Drosophila melanogaster: one gene and its partners. The protein of the gene in region 2 interacts with the protein of the main gene of each other region in a pairwise test. Each region holds a gene or a part of one and is shown on either strand. Other genes may lie near its edges.

Region 1 (7,211 bases), on a different chromosome or scaffold from region 2:
ACATAGCTGACGGTGTCCTCGTTAAACCGATCCGCAATCACGGAAACCCTTGCTGTGGGAAACTCCTTCTGGAGTTCTAAGGCGGTCGTAAGACCAATGATACCGCTTCCCAAGACTCCGAAATGCATTCTGGATCCGCTTTGAGTTGATACCCAATCCCAATGGAAGGCGATTTGGTACTGAGCATGCTTTTAAAGGTGCTTGCGAAGCTGGCTGCGTCTTATCAGCTCTTATCAAATCCGCTCTCCATCGCGCCTCCAAAGATGAGATAAACTTTACTGCTCTCTTTTAAAATTGCAATAAACACTTTTTCCGTTGTTTTTATTATGGTTGCAAACAGTGCTGCACGCTTACAGTAGACTTTAATTAAGTATAACGAAATATTAATGTAACAGTGAGTATTCAATACGAGATACAGCTTTTAAAATAGATATAGAATTAAATGTAGCCAAATTTAAATAAAAAAAGCATCTTTGCTTAAAAAACTGGCAAAATACATATATTTCATAGCTTAAAAATAAGCTAATTGTTTGTCCTATTCTTTCTTACGGGTATCTACTGTACATCGAAAATACTGTGTTGAATCAGCTGTTTGTACTAAACACATCTAAAAAAAACACATCCATTCTAGGGACCACAACAACTTTTCTAAACTGTCGTCAGTATAACTTGTCAACCCAAATTGGATTGACAAATTTTTAAAACAATTATTGTACTCCGCTGAAATTAAACTATTTACCGGCGTTCAAAGCGGAAAACTCAAAAATACCTACACGCGGAACAGCTGAGTGCGGTATTTTTTAGTTTCGCTCACAATTTGTACGTGCGATGCACGAATCGTTTTCAACACTGCCCGGAGGGTCACACTATCCACTCAGATATTTATTTTTCTAATAACATTTACTTAAAAGCAGACTTTACGCAGAGCTTTGGCCACGGAGGAAACGGAACAGATAGCCAGCGAGCGGAGCAGCCAGGACTTGGAGCAGGAATCGGCAGGAACACCAGGACGGATTTCCCCAAGACAAGCAGTAGTAGTATGTCTTCGAAGTCGCCAAGCGAGGTGAGTTCCCTTTGAAGTCTTGGGATAATTTCGATATCCGAGGCGTATTCAATATAGTAGAGGGTTTTAACCGCAGCTGGGCAAATGTTAACGATCCGGAAAGGTTTCCCTTCCGCAATCGCGTGTCGGACTGCCATCCCACGAGTAGAAGGTTCAACGTCATCTTATCGTTCTAGAGATTCATAGCTGAGGAGTGACACAGCGCTCTGCAATGATAAGCTTGTCCAGCTTCTTGCTCGATCTACCAGTCCGTCTATCGTTATATAACTTATTGGTTTCTGCAGGCCGAGGTCGTCTGACCCCGGTCGCTAATTGCTGCTAACCCCGCCATAATCGGGCCGCTGTTTGTGCCCACCCACAGGCCACAGACACGGCCCAATGTCATCTGCCTCCCAATGGCCAAATGTTTACATGGCATTCATTGCACTTTCCCTTCGCCTGAATGCTTGTTTATGCCACATAAACAATGCATTTGCATTTTGGCAAAAAACCTTCGATCCTTGCCAGCTCGATGCTCTTTAGGGAGCTGTTAACCTGGCATGGGGAGTTTACTATAGCTCGCTTGAATTTCATTACTTTAAGGGTTTGCCATATGACCATAAAGTTTATAAAACCTGTGTATGTATCAAGTCTTGGCATTGTATCTTTGCTCCTTGGCAATACGTCTTATATTTAAAATTGTATTGTATATTTTACCGGTCGGGATATTTATTGTGTACCTTTTTTAATAAGCATTTTGTACCCGCGCAAATATAATCTGGTTTAATATTGTTCGTTTATGCAGCACCTTTCTCATCAAGCAATGTCTTTTGTATACACATAAGTACAATACATATGTGGCTCACGCGGATCGCTCTCCCGTCTGCCGAAAATAGAAGCTCATCGCCATTGACGCCGCTCGCATTCAGTGCTCGATGCCACGCGAATTCGCACGCGCCGCTCTGCCAGATTCTTCGCGACGCGAAATTCATAAGCCAAAACACTTCGATTCGGATCCAAAGTGCGCAGGTTTAACTTTTGCCAACCATTGATCACCGGTGGCCAAGCGTTTTTCCCAGGGATCCTCTTGTCCGCTCCTCAATTGCGACATCATTGGCACGCGCGAAACATATTAATTGCCCGGCGCTCCCATTTACTCATTAGATCACTATAAATAAACAGCAAGCCATAGCCACCACATTTTAGAACCAGTTTATAGATCGTTTTCAATACCATGAAAAGTGTTTTCAAATTTTGTTATAAATCTGATATCAGCCTGTAGTTGAAAATCAAGAAGTATCAAGCCTTCGAAGTGGCATCATGAAATATGCATGGGCCAATCCGATCACAAAGAATATCAGATTCGCCATAAGGAAGTGTTTTGCCTTGTTAGCACTCCCGCGAGTCAATTAGTGATTTATGGTTGAGTTTAAAAGGCGGTTTCGAATGGCATCCAAAGGGCAGCAGAGCAATTTAGCTGTTTGAAAGTGTCTCCTTGATAAGGTCTTGGCAATAGAGGGATTATTGAAGTCACTGACCTGCCAAACGTGATCGCTGATCGGCAGATTTAATCGCTGTAAAGTGTACCTGCGCAATTTCATTGACGTTGCGATTAATATGTCACTTTCCTCATCAGTTTTCGCATCACCTTCACAGCGAAGAACGCTTTAATCTCAGAAGAGAGACACCTTTGCATTTAAGTCGCTTACATTTCATTTTATTTTAATTTAATTACTGCGATTCCGTTGTCTTTTCCTCACAGCAACAAGTTTCGCACATTGTAATTACACACGCCTTTCACGTGTCTGCGACAACAACACGTCCTCGTTCTGATGGCTTACGTTTCCTAGATTTCCCTACGGCTATATACAATACTTCCATGTCAGCGGCAATCGGCCAAAGGAGATGCTCTAGATGCGCTATGGAACTTGTTGCTCATCCGCCGCGAACGTGACACATGTCGATTGCCGCTCTCTTCAAGCTGATGATAAAGCCGAAACTGGCGCATCAGGTTTTCGTTATTTTATAAAACGCCACTCAGCACGATCTCTGACGTCAGAATGTACGATGATGACGTACCCGATGATTTATCGACCGGTGGCGAAGGGGGCAGGTGGCTTCTTGCCAAGTTTAAGGTTGCAGCGAGTTTATTATACACACTTATGGCCCATCCCTCGGTTCTTCCGCTTTCACCTTTACCGTAATGCGCTTAGCATTTCTCCGGTTCAGGAAATCGCTTTATATGGTTTTCAGACCGGGCCTCTGGGCCTCCCACTTGCATAATTTGGCCAGAGTGTAGTGGCTTGGGTTTGTTTATTTTAGCCTGGCGTGTGATTCACAGCCCAAGGTTGGCCAGCAAATGCGATTTCCAAAACATTTTTCGTGGCGTGATTCATTTCAAATGATTTCCCCATCATGCAGAGCCACCCACAATCCAAATCTTATGTGTTTATGTCTACGCTAATCGTCCTTCACCCTCTGGCTTACCTCCAAAATACTGCGGCTATCAGCTGCCAAAATGTTTATCAGCCACAAAGATTTTGGTGGTGGCACGCTTTATTCCTCGGCCATTGTGCTTAGCCGAAAAATATTCTAGGAAAAAGCGAAATAAATAAAAAACAGACGCGTCCCCCCTTTCCAGCGCCACCAAAGTCTGGCAGTCGCTGGTTTATTTGTTTACACTCTGCTTGGCTTTTATTGCCGAAGAATTTTTCGAGTCCATTGTTTGGTTGTTTTGGCTGTTTTCATAAAATTTCCCAGGCAGCGCTCTTCTAGACGTTGGCATTCAACTGCAGTTTTATTTATTTATTTCTGGCTGATTCAAGCAGCTTTTGTTTTGCTCTCTAAGTTTGATTGAGTCTAAAATAAACGCAAGTAGCCCCCGCTGAGTGTGGCGCGTGTTTATTGGTCTGGCCTACTTCAGCGCTGATTTTTTCGCGTTTGGCGGCCCATTTGGGTCCATCATACTATATACTATACTATAGTACACTATGGTTGCGGAACTTATTTAATGGGTCCACTTAAATTGGCCTCGCTAAGTGGTTGTCGATCTGTCGCTTCATTTAGAACCAGTTCTCTGTAAACCAGTGTCCGACTTATATAATCGATCATCTTCTAGGGCCCTGCTTGATTGCTTTTAATCATGAGCAGACGCTCGTCTTCATTTCAGTTTAAAAGCCGAAGATTTCATTGTGCCATCAATTGAAATGTATGCCCCATTGACGTATGCAACCGTCTTGAACACTTGTGTTCCTTTTGTTCGAGTATGTGCAGTGAGCAAAATGAGTTCGCAATTTACTGGGAAAATGCTTCTTTATGAACTTCAGTAAGTGCTGTTTACCAGTTGAACTTCCGTAATATTAAAATTGTTGATTATATATAAATATATTTTTGGTACCTCAATGCGTAGAGCTTTTCCCACACTGTATTAACATATACGTAGGATGTGCTTATCGCCACTTCCGTCGCTGTAATCTAATCGTGTGCTTATCAGGTAATGGCTGCGTGCCAGGGCAGTGGTCCGATAAGCGTTTCTGCCAATACCTTTGGTGGAGCGAGGGGCTGTGAGAGCCACCATTTCGTGATCCGGGGACACAATCGCGACTTAAGTTTAGGACCAAACCAGCTGGACGGGCAACTTGTTCAGGTTAACGAACTAGTTTGGGCCGTTTCTCGCTGCACTTGCGAATTCTCATTTTTGATAGTGCACAACCAACGTAGATATGTATACACAGATCGGGTGAGAGCGGGGGGTGGTGCGATTGGAGAGGTGCCGAAAGCGGCGACGACTTCTACTACTTGTGCCCGACAGTACGTACACAGAGACACGTCGCTACATCGGGCTTCGTCACTCGACTCGCCCTGCAGTCTCTCCCACAATTTTCTGGGCGCTTTCCTGCAGTCGTCCCACGAACGTTGCCGCAATTGGTCTACACGAATCGGTTCGCTAATAAAATGACTGCCATGCCCCACGCCCACTCTCGCCTCCTAGGAAAAACGCTGGCATATTGAACTGTGCGACTAACTAACTTAAATACTTAAAAGCAAGCCCAGCAAGCCGAGAGCAATCTGCCTAAAAGTGACAAGTTATAGGTGACACAACAAAAGCTAAAATTTGTGAGAAACTGTGTGAAAACTAGAACTACAAAATGATGAAGCTGTTTAAAAAACCCAAAGACAAAATACCCAAATCGGAGATTTTAACCGAGCCCAAGGAGCCCAAAACACCGCCGGTCTCCAAGTGCGGAAAACCTTTGCAGTTGGACAACTCGCGATGGGAGGCAAGTATATTCGAGATATTAAACCTGAACTTTGGCCAGATATCGCGTTCGAACAACTGGTCGTTAATATACATATAGTGTTCCATTGCATCATGAGTATGTAGTATTTTGAGTTTCAAGAAATCTGCGTGAATCTTCTGTTGATTCTCTTCAAGGCTGTACCAAGATTTGTTTTTATTATTCTTGGCATTGCCAAATCCAAACCTTATCGATCAAACCCATTTATCCGCAGCTCATTTGTGGGGGCAGCGGTGCGATACTTGTTTATGGTACAGAAAACGGGCCTGCAAGTGCCAATCACTCGATAAGAAGGGGGATCCGAAAGACGGAAAAACAATCGTCGGTTCTATAAATTTCAGTGACATTTGTTTTTATCTTATCGAGCATTTCGTTTATTTATACGCGCGTAGGCATATAGCGTATATTGGCGTTTGTAAGCCAAAGGAGAAATGGCGCACCGATAAGGCGAGCGGAAAAAATAAGTCTTGAGAACTCTTAAGTAGAATGTCCCAGCTGTAGGTGTGTTTCGCGATAAGATATACGGCGAACTGTCCGAGTCATTAACTAATATAAGTCTTAAATTTTATTTTCTGCCCCACAGCGCCGCCTACACAAAGAGCTGATGTCCCTGATCAAGGAGCCGCCACCAGGCGTAACCATCGACACCGAGAGCGTACAACAAAATTTATCCGAGTAAGTATGGACTTCGAGGCGGAGTAGGCCAAGTTCAGCGACAACTGAAACTGGTTTAAATCAATTCGCAATTCAGCAATTCGCACTGAAAACAAAGCCCGCAGTTGTTGGAAGCTGACACTAATATCGCTGTTTTGTTTACAGATGGAAAATAAACATTAAAGGTTTCGAGGGCACACTTTACGAGGGCGAGGACTTCCAGCTACTTTTCAAATTCAACAATAAATATCCGTTCGATTCGCCAGAGGTAATAATTCAGTTGAACAAAGCGAAGCTGTATGGAATCTTAACCATGTTCTCTTAATTTCCAGGTGACCTTCATCGGCACCAATATACCGGTGCATCCGCATGTCTACAGCAACGGACACATCTGCCTATCCATTCTGACCGAGGACTGGTCCCCGGCGCTGTCCGTGCAGTCCGTGTGCCTTAGCATAGCCTCCATGTTGAGTAGTTGTCGCGAAAAGAAGCGTCCGCCGGACAACACGATATACGTAAAAACCTGTAATAAGAATCCTAAAAAGACTAAATGGTGGTACCACGGTACGTATGCGTGATTTTCCAACTAAAGCCCACTGACTCTAAACTTGACTAATTGTTTATTTCAGATGATTCTGTTTAGTTAAAATTGCCATTTACTAATACTGCCTGCTATTGTTTGCTTTGCGCATCCAACCAAAAAAAAAAAAAAAAAAAAAAACACCATTAGCAATACAGAAGTAGAACACGGCGAGATGCCCCCAGAAATCCAAGAAATGTGGGACGGCGGTCAAGCACTGCTCGTGAGTGGAGCATACTAAAACCCAAGTGCACTCGGATGCGAACGTAATGTGCAACAAAGTAAATGAAGTTAGCGAGAAACTTATGGGTAGTGTTTGGCAAACAATCGTGGCGCATGCAAACAATTCTAATTGTAGCTATGTGTAATCAACAAAAGGCGTGTGCGAAAAACTATTATTAAATGTTAACATTTTAATTAGATTGTTAAGACCAAATTTATGTCTAAATTAAATGTTATCCTACCATTTAACCACTAAGCGTATGCAAACCACTTGAACGTTTGATAGTTCTGGCACCTCGCGCCAGTTGCTGCTTCCACATTCCACATGCATCGTTCGCGGCATTTTCTGCCCGAGTAGCGTGACCCAGCACACACACACATCGCCTCCATCCCAGCTTATATTAATTTTGTGTAT
Region 2 (3,802 bases):
CAATGATTTATGTATATCTTCGAAAGTAATCCCATAAATCATGTTTGCAAATGATAGGCTTCTTTGGAAACACTTCTCATTATGATTTAATCTGGTGGTAATCACTATCACTAGTTAGACATTTTTAAGGCAGATTTTCTCCGAGTGTACTGTTGCACCCAGCAAGACGTTTATCGCCTTATCACACAGGAGAGCCCAACTTTTGACCATATGGTCAATGCGATCTACGGCGGCCAATAAATGATTATCACGACGATTTTATTAGCCAATTGTGCCACTGAATCAGTGGAAATAAATTAATAGACTTTCGGTGCAAAAAGGAACGTCACAAATGACTGTATATAAATAAATACGCTTGAATATCTAATCGGCGGTGCCCAGAAATGTGTTAATCTTCAGCCTGATTGTGCACTGAGTACACTGGAATTCGTGACGTAGCCAAGGTAAACAAATGGTCTTATCTGTGCAAGAGTTTTGTGGTTTATTATTTGGCAAACAAGTGGAAATATTCAGTCGGCCGAAACGGCTGGAGTTGCGTACATCGTCGGCTTAAAGGGGGTTCGTCCAGTCCAACAGATATCCGTCCATCTGTGCTGCAGTGGCTCCCTTCCGGATTTTACAGCTCACGACGAAGCAGGTGATCGGTTCGTTCTGCGCATCGTTCAACGTGACAGTGACATCCGCCGTTATTTCCGGGAACGAAGGCTCCACATAGAAGTTGAACTGATACGTGACATCCTCGTCCTTGTCGATGGGACAGATGGCACCGTACAGGAGATTGCGGCACACATCGGACACTTCGTCGGGTAGGGCATATGGCAGATTCATGCCCAAAACCTTTGCCGTTGTGGTGGCCGTAATGCTCTTGATATTGTTGTTATCTGCAAGACATCGATGATGAGATTCAAGTGGACACGGATATAGATGGCCGAAACTTACTGCCCAGGAAGTGCACCTCCATGACTGCTATGGTTCCTTTGTACACAACGCACGGCGGTTCCTCGCAATCCTTAATATTCACATCCAGTGGAAACGGCTTATTTTTGCCTGAAAGCGGAAATATGTTTTCGAAGAATCAAAAGGTGAGCTCAAAAGAAGGCTATGTTTTTTTTTCTAAGAGATTAGCTGTTTGTTGATAAGCCATATCAACCTGGCCAACAGATACACGTTAGGACTTTAAATTTCTCTCAGAACGTATTTTTGGCAATAGTTTTCGAGACAAAGTCTGCGAAGTGAATCATCGTCATAGAAATCTGTTAGAATCATGAATCCAATCTAACAAACTGGTCGATTTAAAATGATTTGATGTTTTTCCAACAAAATAAAAGAGTTTTTAGCTACTTACACTGCTGGACATTGGTGGCATTGACTGTGGCCAGAATTAGAGCCAAAGTTACAACGATTCGCAGCATTTTTCTGGATGGAATCTTTTTTAATCTTACTTCAGAAGAATACAATATACATTGAGTACGCGCGCACGCAGATGACAATCGTGAGTGGAATCGATGGGGCTGGTGGAGAACCTTAAATAGCCCCGTGTTCGAACGATGACCAACGCCTGTAGAGAGCAGTTTATCAAAATCGGTGGCTATTGCCATTGATACGGGGCCGCCACGCAGGTGTTACAAAAGAAAACCACTGTGGCCTGCAGGTGTTGCGCTCTGACGAAGAGCAAACAATGCCGATTCGAATCAGTAAATAACGTAAATTTGGCTGATAAGTAGGGAGAGGCTGAACTACAATGTTGCCGGCTATACCTAGTAAACAAAACAGCCAGAGGGTGAATATGTAAGCAAGGCGGAATATTGGCTCGAAGGGTTAATAAACATATAATTTAAGGTTTGATCGAGCAATCAAATTTAAAAAAGCGGCCGATTAATTTCCTATCGATCGTGATTGAAGACTTTGTGTCATCGAAGACTGCACATCTCTAACTATGGCCGTTCAAAACATAAAATGTAAACAAAAGTCATTCAAGCACAATCTGACCAAAATCAAATATAATGGAAAGTAACGAAGATGTAGAGCGCCTTCTGTGTCAAAAGTATCCTGGTCTGGCAGCGGAGCTTCAGCCAAGTGGAGCGTGCATCATCAGAGGAGTTTTGGGCAGTGAGGTAAGTTATCCGTATTTCAATTTTTCCCGCCAAACTAATAATGATTGTATAATTAAGGATACATGGCGCCGCCTTAAACTCTATCTGCCACACCACCCAGCTCTTCATGGTTTCCAGCTCTACGTCCAGGAAAGCTTGGAGTACAAGCTGTACACATCGGCTAATCTCAAGTTACAGGACGATTGGCTGCTGGAGGATTTTCTGGACCATTTGCCAAAGATTCTTCCTGCCCAAAAAGCCCCAACAGTGCCAAAGGAACTATGTCGGGAGGGGAACATATATTACGATATCCTGGCCTTGTACAAGTCAAACGAGTACTGCCTGCAAGTGGACGAGGCCTGTTCCATGATTCGTTTCAGCGAATTCACCGACTTCGAGCAGCATTATCTGGAGCTTAAGATCCCGTCTCTTCTCTTGCTTGATCACAGTTTGCCCGACTGCGTATCGCTGGGTGAAATGCTGACCAAGAGTGCTGGAAACCTAGAGGAGGCCCTAAACCTCTTTCGCAAGCTTCTCGAGGATCTGCGTCCCTTCTACGACAACTTCATGGATATCGACGAGCTTTGTCATGTGCTGCAACCATCGCCCATCAGCAGCAAACACAAAACACGACTGTTCCCTCTCAAGGATCGCGTCTACTTGAAGCTGACCATCGCGGATCCCTTTGCCTGCATTGCATCCATGTCGCTAAAGATCATTGGGCCCACGGAAGAGGTGGCCCGCCTGCGCCACGTTCTCAGCGATGGTCTAAGTAACTGGGACTCCGAAATGAACATTCACAAGAACCTACTCCGAATGTTCGACTTGTGCTACTTTCCCATGCCAGACTGGTCGGATGGACCCAAGCTGGATGAAGAGGACAACGAAGAGCTGCGCTGTAACATTTGCTTTGCCTATCGCCTGGATGGTGGCGAGGTGCCCCTCGTCTCCTGCGACAATGCCAAATGTGTGCTAAAGTGCCATGCCGTCTGTTTGGAGGAGTGGTTTAAGACTCTGATGGATGGCAAGACCTTTCTGGAGGTCTCCTTCGGCCAGTGTCCCTTCTGCAAGGCGGTAATATTGCCTATCATTTCATCTATTGCCAATGTACAACTGCTTTATCTTTTTCAGAAGCTGTCCACCTCATTTGCGGCACTTTTAAATGATTGAAATTTGTAACCATAATATTAAAAGCAAATATTTAAGAGTAACTTATTATTCAAATAATCGTAAATATCAATTAGGTTTACATCCACGCCATCAAACGCCGTGTGTTTTTGCTAAAAGTAGTTGTGAAACGAATTAAACAGGTCCCACCTGATGGACCGCATCATTCTCCTGACGACGCCAGCAGCAGAGTTGACATCTGAAAAATCGCTTCACAACGCGCCAGCCTCATTCCATATCGCTTGAGATCATCCGCATCATATTCCGCACCACATAGGTGGTTCCATTGAAGGGCGAGTACTCGCTGGCTTTTCCAATCCGCACGCTGGAGCCGGCCAAACCGAAAAACACCTTGGGTGTTAGGTTGGGATGCACGGCCTTGAACTCCCACCCGACGTGCTGGGCGCAGAACTTGCACAGAATAATGTGCCACTGATAGCCGGGGAACCAGCTAAACTTTGTGGACGGCTCGCCGCTGTAGCCGATGGCATGGGATATCACCCGGTACACGGTGTTTGTCTCGTGGATGTAGCCCTCTGTAA
Region 3 (4,912 bases), on a different chromosome or scaffold from region 2:
AGCTGAATTGAATTGAATTGAATTGTTTATTCAAGTTAAAGCCTGTACTTTTTTACATTTTTATAAGTCAATAAATTTTACTTCGGAATTTAAATAGTAAAATGGACGCCTCTTGTTATATATCGGCAATGATACATGCCAAATAAAATCGAAGGGAGTACTTTCCTCAATTCCGATCATTTCCGTTTCCGATTTGGCACACTTTCGTTTCGCCACCCACACAAGCGAGCACTGCAAGTAGCGCCTAAGAGCAGGCTACACAGAATAAATTTATGATGACCAGCCGAGGAAGTTTGGCATGCATAAAATGTAACGATATCCCAGCTCAAGCCAAAATAAACACTTAATTTATGCCAGAACTCACAACTAGTCCATGAGTGTGAATGTGTGGGTGCAGCAGTCGCCTGCGGGCTGCACTGCAGATAAATCAAAGTCCGCAAAAAGTCTTTGACACCGCTCTCGGCCATGGTCGAGTGGCTGTTGGGGCGCCACCTCCAAGCCCAAACCCACTGCTCATCAACTTGGAGGTCTGCCTAACACTCGGAAAAATTATCACTAAGTTCCATTACAGTTTTGTCGGTTTTCCATATTTAAATGGCTTTGTTCTGTACATTCTCAGATATAACAATTTTTATAAGGTAACTCGCGATTACAAATAGACTTACTACAGTTATGTGGGATAGGAAAAATTACCATTTTTGAATAGAATTTTGGTTATTATTATCATTATTTTTCCATCTGTAAATTTCCATATCCTAATATAATAATGGTTTTTAAACTATTATAATTTTAATTGATTTGATAAGTACGAAAGATAATGTGGCACAGCCACCATTTTCAGTAATTTCACCAAAATAGTTTTTTGAACTCCTTAATCTATACGTTTATAATCTTCTCAATACAACATGATTGATGTTTTTAACATTTCTCTGCTGCCTAACAACAAGCATTCCTGTTAGTAAGTTCGATTTTTGGAATCCCATCTATGGAATTTTCACTGCCACACCTATTGATATACTAAACATCGTTTTTTCTGTGTGTTTCTCTGGAGAATCTGAAACAAAAAACACGTTACGTGCACACATATTCTGCTGACATCAGCTGTTTTGGGTAGAGCTTACGGCTTAGATTTTAGCTCTGACCTCGTTCTCGCACGGCCCACAAGCCAAAGTAACAAACAAGTATAAAAACACAGAGAAAATAAAGCAGAGTAAAATACGGCAGAACACGCCAGAAGACAACACAAGAATATGTTGTCCGATGGGCAAATATTTGTCGTAATGCGTAGAGCAAACAAAGTGCCTCTGATGATGGAAATATATTTGGGGAAAGTCTCGAAGCGGCAAGCCATAATGCATAACTCATACGCCACGTGGGCGGGAACCTCCACTTGATGTGAGTTGATATTCGCCTCCTTTTTCTTGTACCCGTAGAATGACAAAGTTAAAAGGGGCGAGTGTAGATATCGCAAATGGGTCGTCATCAACAATCTTTAAGGCGAAATTAACTTGACACTAGAGAGAGATACGAGCGCAAGAAAGTTTTGAGACTCATTTAAAGCATAACTTTTCAAATACCTTTTACTCATCAAACGAATGGCAGGTCTGCGTTTTATGAAGAGCATAATTCTCAGAATCCTGTTGAAATGTACTTGAACCTTTAAAACAATAATGTTGTTGGTTAAATTAGGTTACAGGAACGCCAATAAACTTTTTAAACGTCAGGCTTAACATATTTTTAAACATAATTAAGTCCACAACCGCGTCTCCAATAAAGCCAATATAGATATATTTTTTGACTTTGTGCTTATATTCGAAAGTTTTTGAAGGAGTTTATCCACTTTTCTTAACATGGAATTCTTTTAAATATTTAAATGAAAGTACCAAGCTCATCCGCTGCCAAAAAGTCCTCATTTGTGTTACAAACTCAATTCCATTAAATATTTGCCTGCCACAGATCCGAAAACAAAGCGGCGTAGTCACATTTTCATTACTCAAGCACTCGAGACCGGAAATCTGTGTCCTGACCTGTCTCAAAGTTCGTTTGGCTGGGCTACCTGTAATGCAGTCACAGGCCGTAAATAATAGACAAAAGCCAAAGCCAAAAACTATGTCAGCCGGGGCACACGAAAATAACCAATACACAAGTAATCCAACAGTTTGTAGTCCTAAAAGAAAGAGTACAAGTACGAATCCAGCGACAAGAGGCTGCCTGCAGACAATTCTTTGTAGCCGCCTTAAGGATTGTTCCCCCTATATATGTATGTATCTCCTGCCATATCGTATATGGAGTACATAATGTATCCATGTGTGTCTAACCGAGGAGATAAGTTGCGGCACACACACTAAAGAGGGCAGCCTTTCTCGGTGGGATTACCTCCTTTCCACACCAAATTTTTGCCCCATCCTTGCAAGTGCGGCAGGAAAGGAATTTTCAATTTTTGTTCTTTTACTTTTTGACTGACTTGGCACTTTGCTTACTTTAAGTTCGCTTAGTTGATGAGCTGCTGATGACTGGAAACTGCCTACGAAGATGCTTCGTTTGCTTTTATTACAATTGTTTTTTGCTCTGTAGATCCTTATGTTTTTGTGGGTGACATGAGGCGTCGGCGACCTTGACTGTCAGCTGCACGCATTTCACTGCTCGAGCCTCGGAGGAGAGGCTGCTCTTTAAATCTTCACTGTTTCATCAGCATTTTCCCAGTGGTTTAAGTGTGGCTCTGCTGCTGGGCAATCAATAAAACAACACTCCGCACACGTTGCGTATACGTAACGACTATCTGCTGATTCGGCACAATTTTGCTCTGGGAAAAATCACAAGAACACACGGGGCACTAAAGCACTTTAGCACTTAAGCAGCAGAATTTTCCTGCATTTTCATTGCTGTATTTCAATTAAATTTTTAACTTCATCCGCTTAACTCAACGCGCTGGGCGATTTATGCGATTTTCCCTGGCTGCGCGCTGGGTATTCTGCACGTAACGCGTCCTTGTTTCAACTACTGACATTCGAACGTAATGAGTTGGCCACAAACTCGGAATCCTGGACGCCCCGAAAGGCAGGCCAAAAAGAAGCTTTCGCCTCTCTGGCACTTCCATTCAGCGGATTTTGTGCGCACGCGCAGCCAAGATTTTCATTTTCCTCCGCTCTGCACGTGCTCCCGCTTTTCCGACTCTTGCTGTTGCCTCTCCACGTTTTTGTTTTGTTTTCGCCATTCGTCGTTAGGCAAGGTTAACAAAAACAAAGCTCTCTCCGTCGGTGTGAGCGTTTGCCCGTGCGTCTGTGTGTGTGTGTGTGTGTGTGTGTCTGGGCGCCAACATTCCAAAACATCTGATTGCTGTCAAAAAATGTTGCATGCGTCAGGGATTCTGACGGACATGCGCGTTTTTCCGAGGATATTATGTTCCCGATTTCAACTTGACTCCGGTTAATGTGGGTTAATTCTGGCACGGCATTGCGATGGTCAGGTGAGCTCGGATTGTTCGGAATGTCCGAAAATTCCAAGACACATCGATTTGTGCTGATTTTAGTGGCCAGGCTATAAAGAAGCAGAATTCGGAGGTGCACAATGGTAATGGGATTATTTGGCAGCTATATAGATATATATATATATATATTAAAGGCCTTTTAAGAAGCACAATTGCATACTAGGTTCAAATATTCGACAAAGTTGCTCTAAATAATGAACAACTGTAGGAAAATACATAATTCCATGCCATAAGAAGCGCTTAAAGTAAAGCCCTTTGAGAGGGATATCTACCCTAAAATAGAGTAAATCAGAGCTTATCAACAGCCTAAGCCAACATTAAAGTGCCAGCACCCACTGTGCCACCAGGTGGCATCTGCCTTTTGCTGCGGACAAACCCGAAACTAACCACCAATTACGCGTACGCCCCTCTGCCGGAAAACAAAAAATATGCCACGAAGCGCTGGCTGGAAGCGAAATTACGGCGGGCACCGCAAAATAAAATGAGACAATTCCGGTCCAGGAGGACCAAAGCCAGGTTCCCAGCCCGGTCTTGCACCTGATCCAGCGGCAGTTAACCCCAACTGCAGCTAGTTAGTTAGTTTCTGGCGACCTGCATGCATGCATACTCGTACATATTTCAGAAAAGTTGCGACATTTTCGCAGGGGTTACTTTTTATTTTGCAGCCGGCGCGTGAAAATCCGAGAGGTGACACTTGTCCAAATTATCTTGCTGGATAAACAAGCGCACTTAACGTGTTATCAGATGCAAACGATGCCGGGATCCAGGATCCCGGATCCAGGATGCAGGATCCAGCAGGACGGCGCTGCCACACACACTCGCACTCGCCGAGGGTGAGAACATAACCAGCATTGTAATCAAAAGCAGGCGAAGGCTGGAGGAGCGAACAAAACTGACATGCAGTTGACTCCAAAAGAGTCGTAGCCTCGCAGGACACGCGGCGAAGTCCTCCTGCCACCACCCTCCATCCAATGGACGCTCGGCAGTCAGAGTGTGACAGAGTCGACAGGGAAGCATCTTTGCACTGTAAACAAGCTTTACCCCAAAGCAGCCCACTAAAATGTCAGGTGTTCGTACCACAATTTAAGCATCTTTTAATTATGAACATATATAAGTACTTCTACTTCTCTCAGAAAAAGTGTGAGTTTCGTTCCTATAAAGAAAGTTGTAAAGACAGATAAAAAATGATACATTTGGATTCATACTCATATTCTTAAGCAGCGGCGCTTTAAGGAATAACGATTAGAAAATCCCAGAAGTTTCTTCCAGTGCACATGAGTGTGAGTGCAGGACCTTGTTTGTGTGCGTCCGCACAGGCGACAGCTGCTGCATAACCCATACAACCCGTACAACCCGTGCAACCCGTAAAACCCGTACAACCCATATAGCCCATGGAACCCGAACAAGCCGCGCACTCAAGGCGAG

The links. The genes of interacting proteins can lie anywhere in the genome.
Region 1: the proteins of Fancl (region 2) and CG7220 interact in a two-hybrid assay, tested with the Drosophila melanogaster proteins (one large-scale study listed by BioGRID).
Region 3: the proteins of Fancl (region 2) and CG32206 interact in a two-hybrid assay, tested with the Drosophila melanogaster proteins (one large-scale study listed by BioGRID).

Annotation. Positions count from the first base shown.
Region 1 is NT_033778.4:10,730,734-10,737,944, forward strand, and holds CG7220 (uncharacterized protein), read left to right. Parts: upstream 1-1,965; 5' UTR 1,966-2,063; intron 2,064-4,647; exon of another isoform or gene 4,648-5,086; 5' UTR 5,087-5,190; coding exon 5,191-5,322; intron 5,323-5,923; coding exon 5,924-6,015; intron 6,016-6,159; coding exon 6,160-6,262; intron 6,263-6,326; coding exon 6,327-6,558; intron 6,559-6,623; coding exon 6,624-6,637; 3' UTR 6,638-6,692; downstream 6,693-7,211. Other genes in the region: Daao1 (D-amino acid oxidase 1), read right to left, coding at 1-128.
Region 2 is NT_033777.3:10,051,008-10,054,809, reverse strand, and holds Fancl (fancl), read left to right. Parts: upstream 1-1,940; 5' UTR 1,941-2,003; coding exon 2,004-2,114; intron 2,115-2,171; coding exon 2,172-3,167; intron 3,168-3,224; coding exon 3,225-3,263; 3' UTR 3,264-3,302; downstream 3,303-3,802. Other genes in the region: Npc2e (Niemann-Pick type C-2e), read right to left, coding at 550-881, 940-1,047, 1,346-1,412; ohgt (ohgata), read right to left, coding at 3,489-3,796. UniProt on the Drosophila melanogaster protein: Ubiquitin ligase protein that mediates monoubiquitination of Fancd2. Ubiquitination of Fancd2 is stimulated by ionising radiation.
Region 3 is NT_037436.4:19,409,894-19,414,805, forward strand, and holds the start of CG32206 (uncharacterized protein), read right to left. Parts: upstream 3,020-4,912; 5' UTR 2,481-3,019; intron 1-2,480.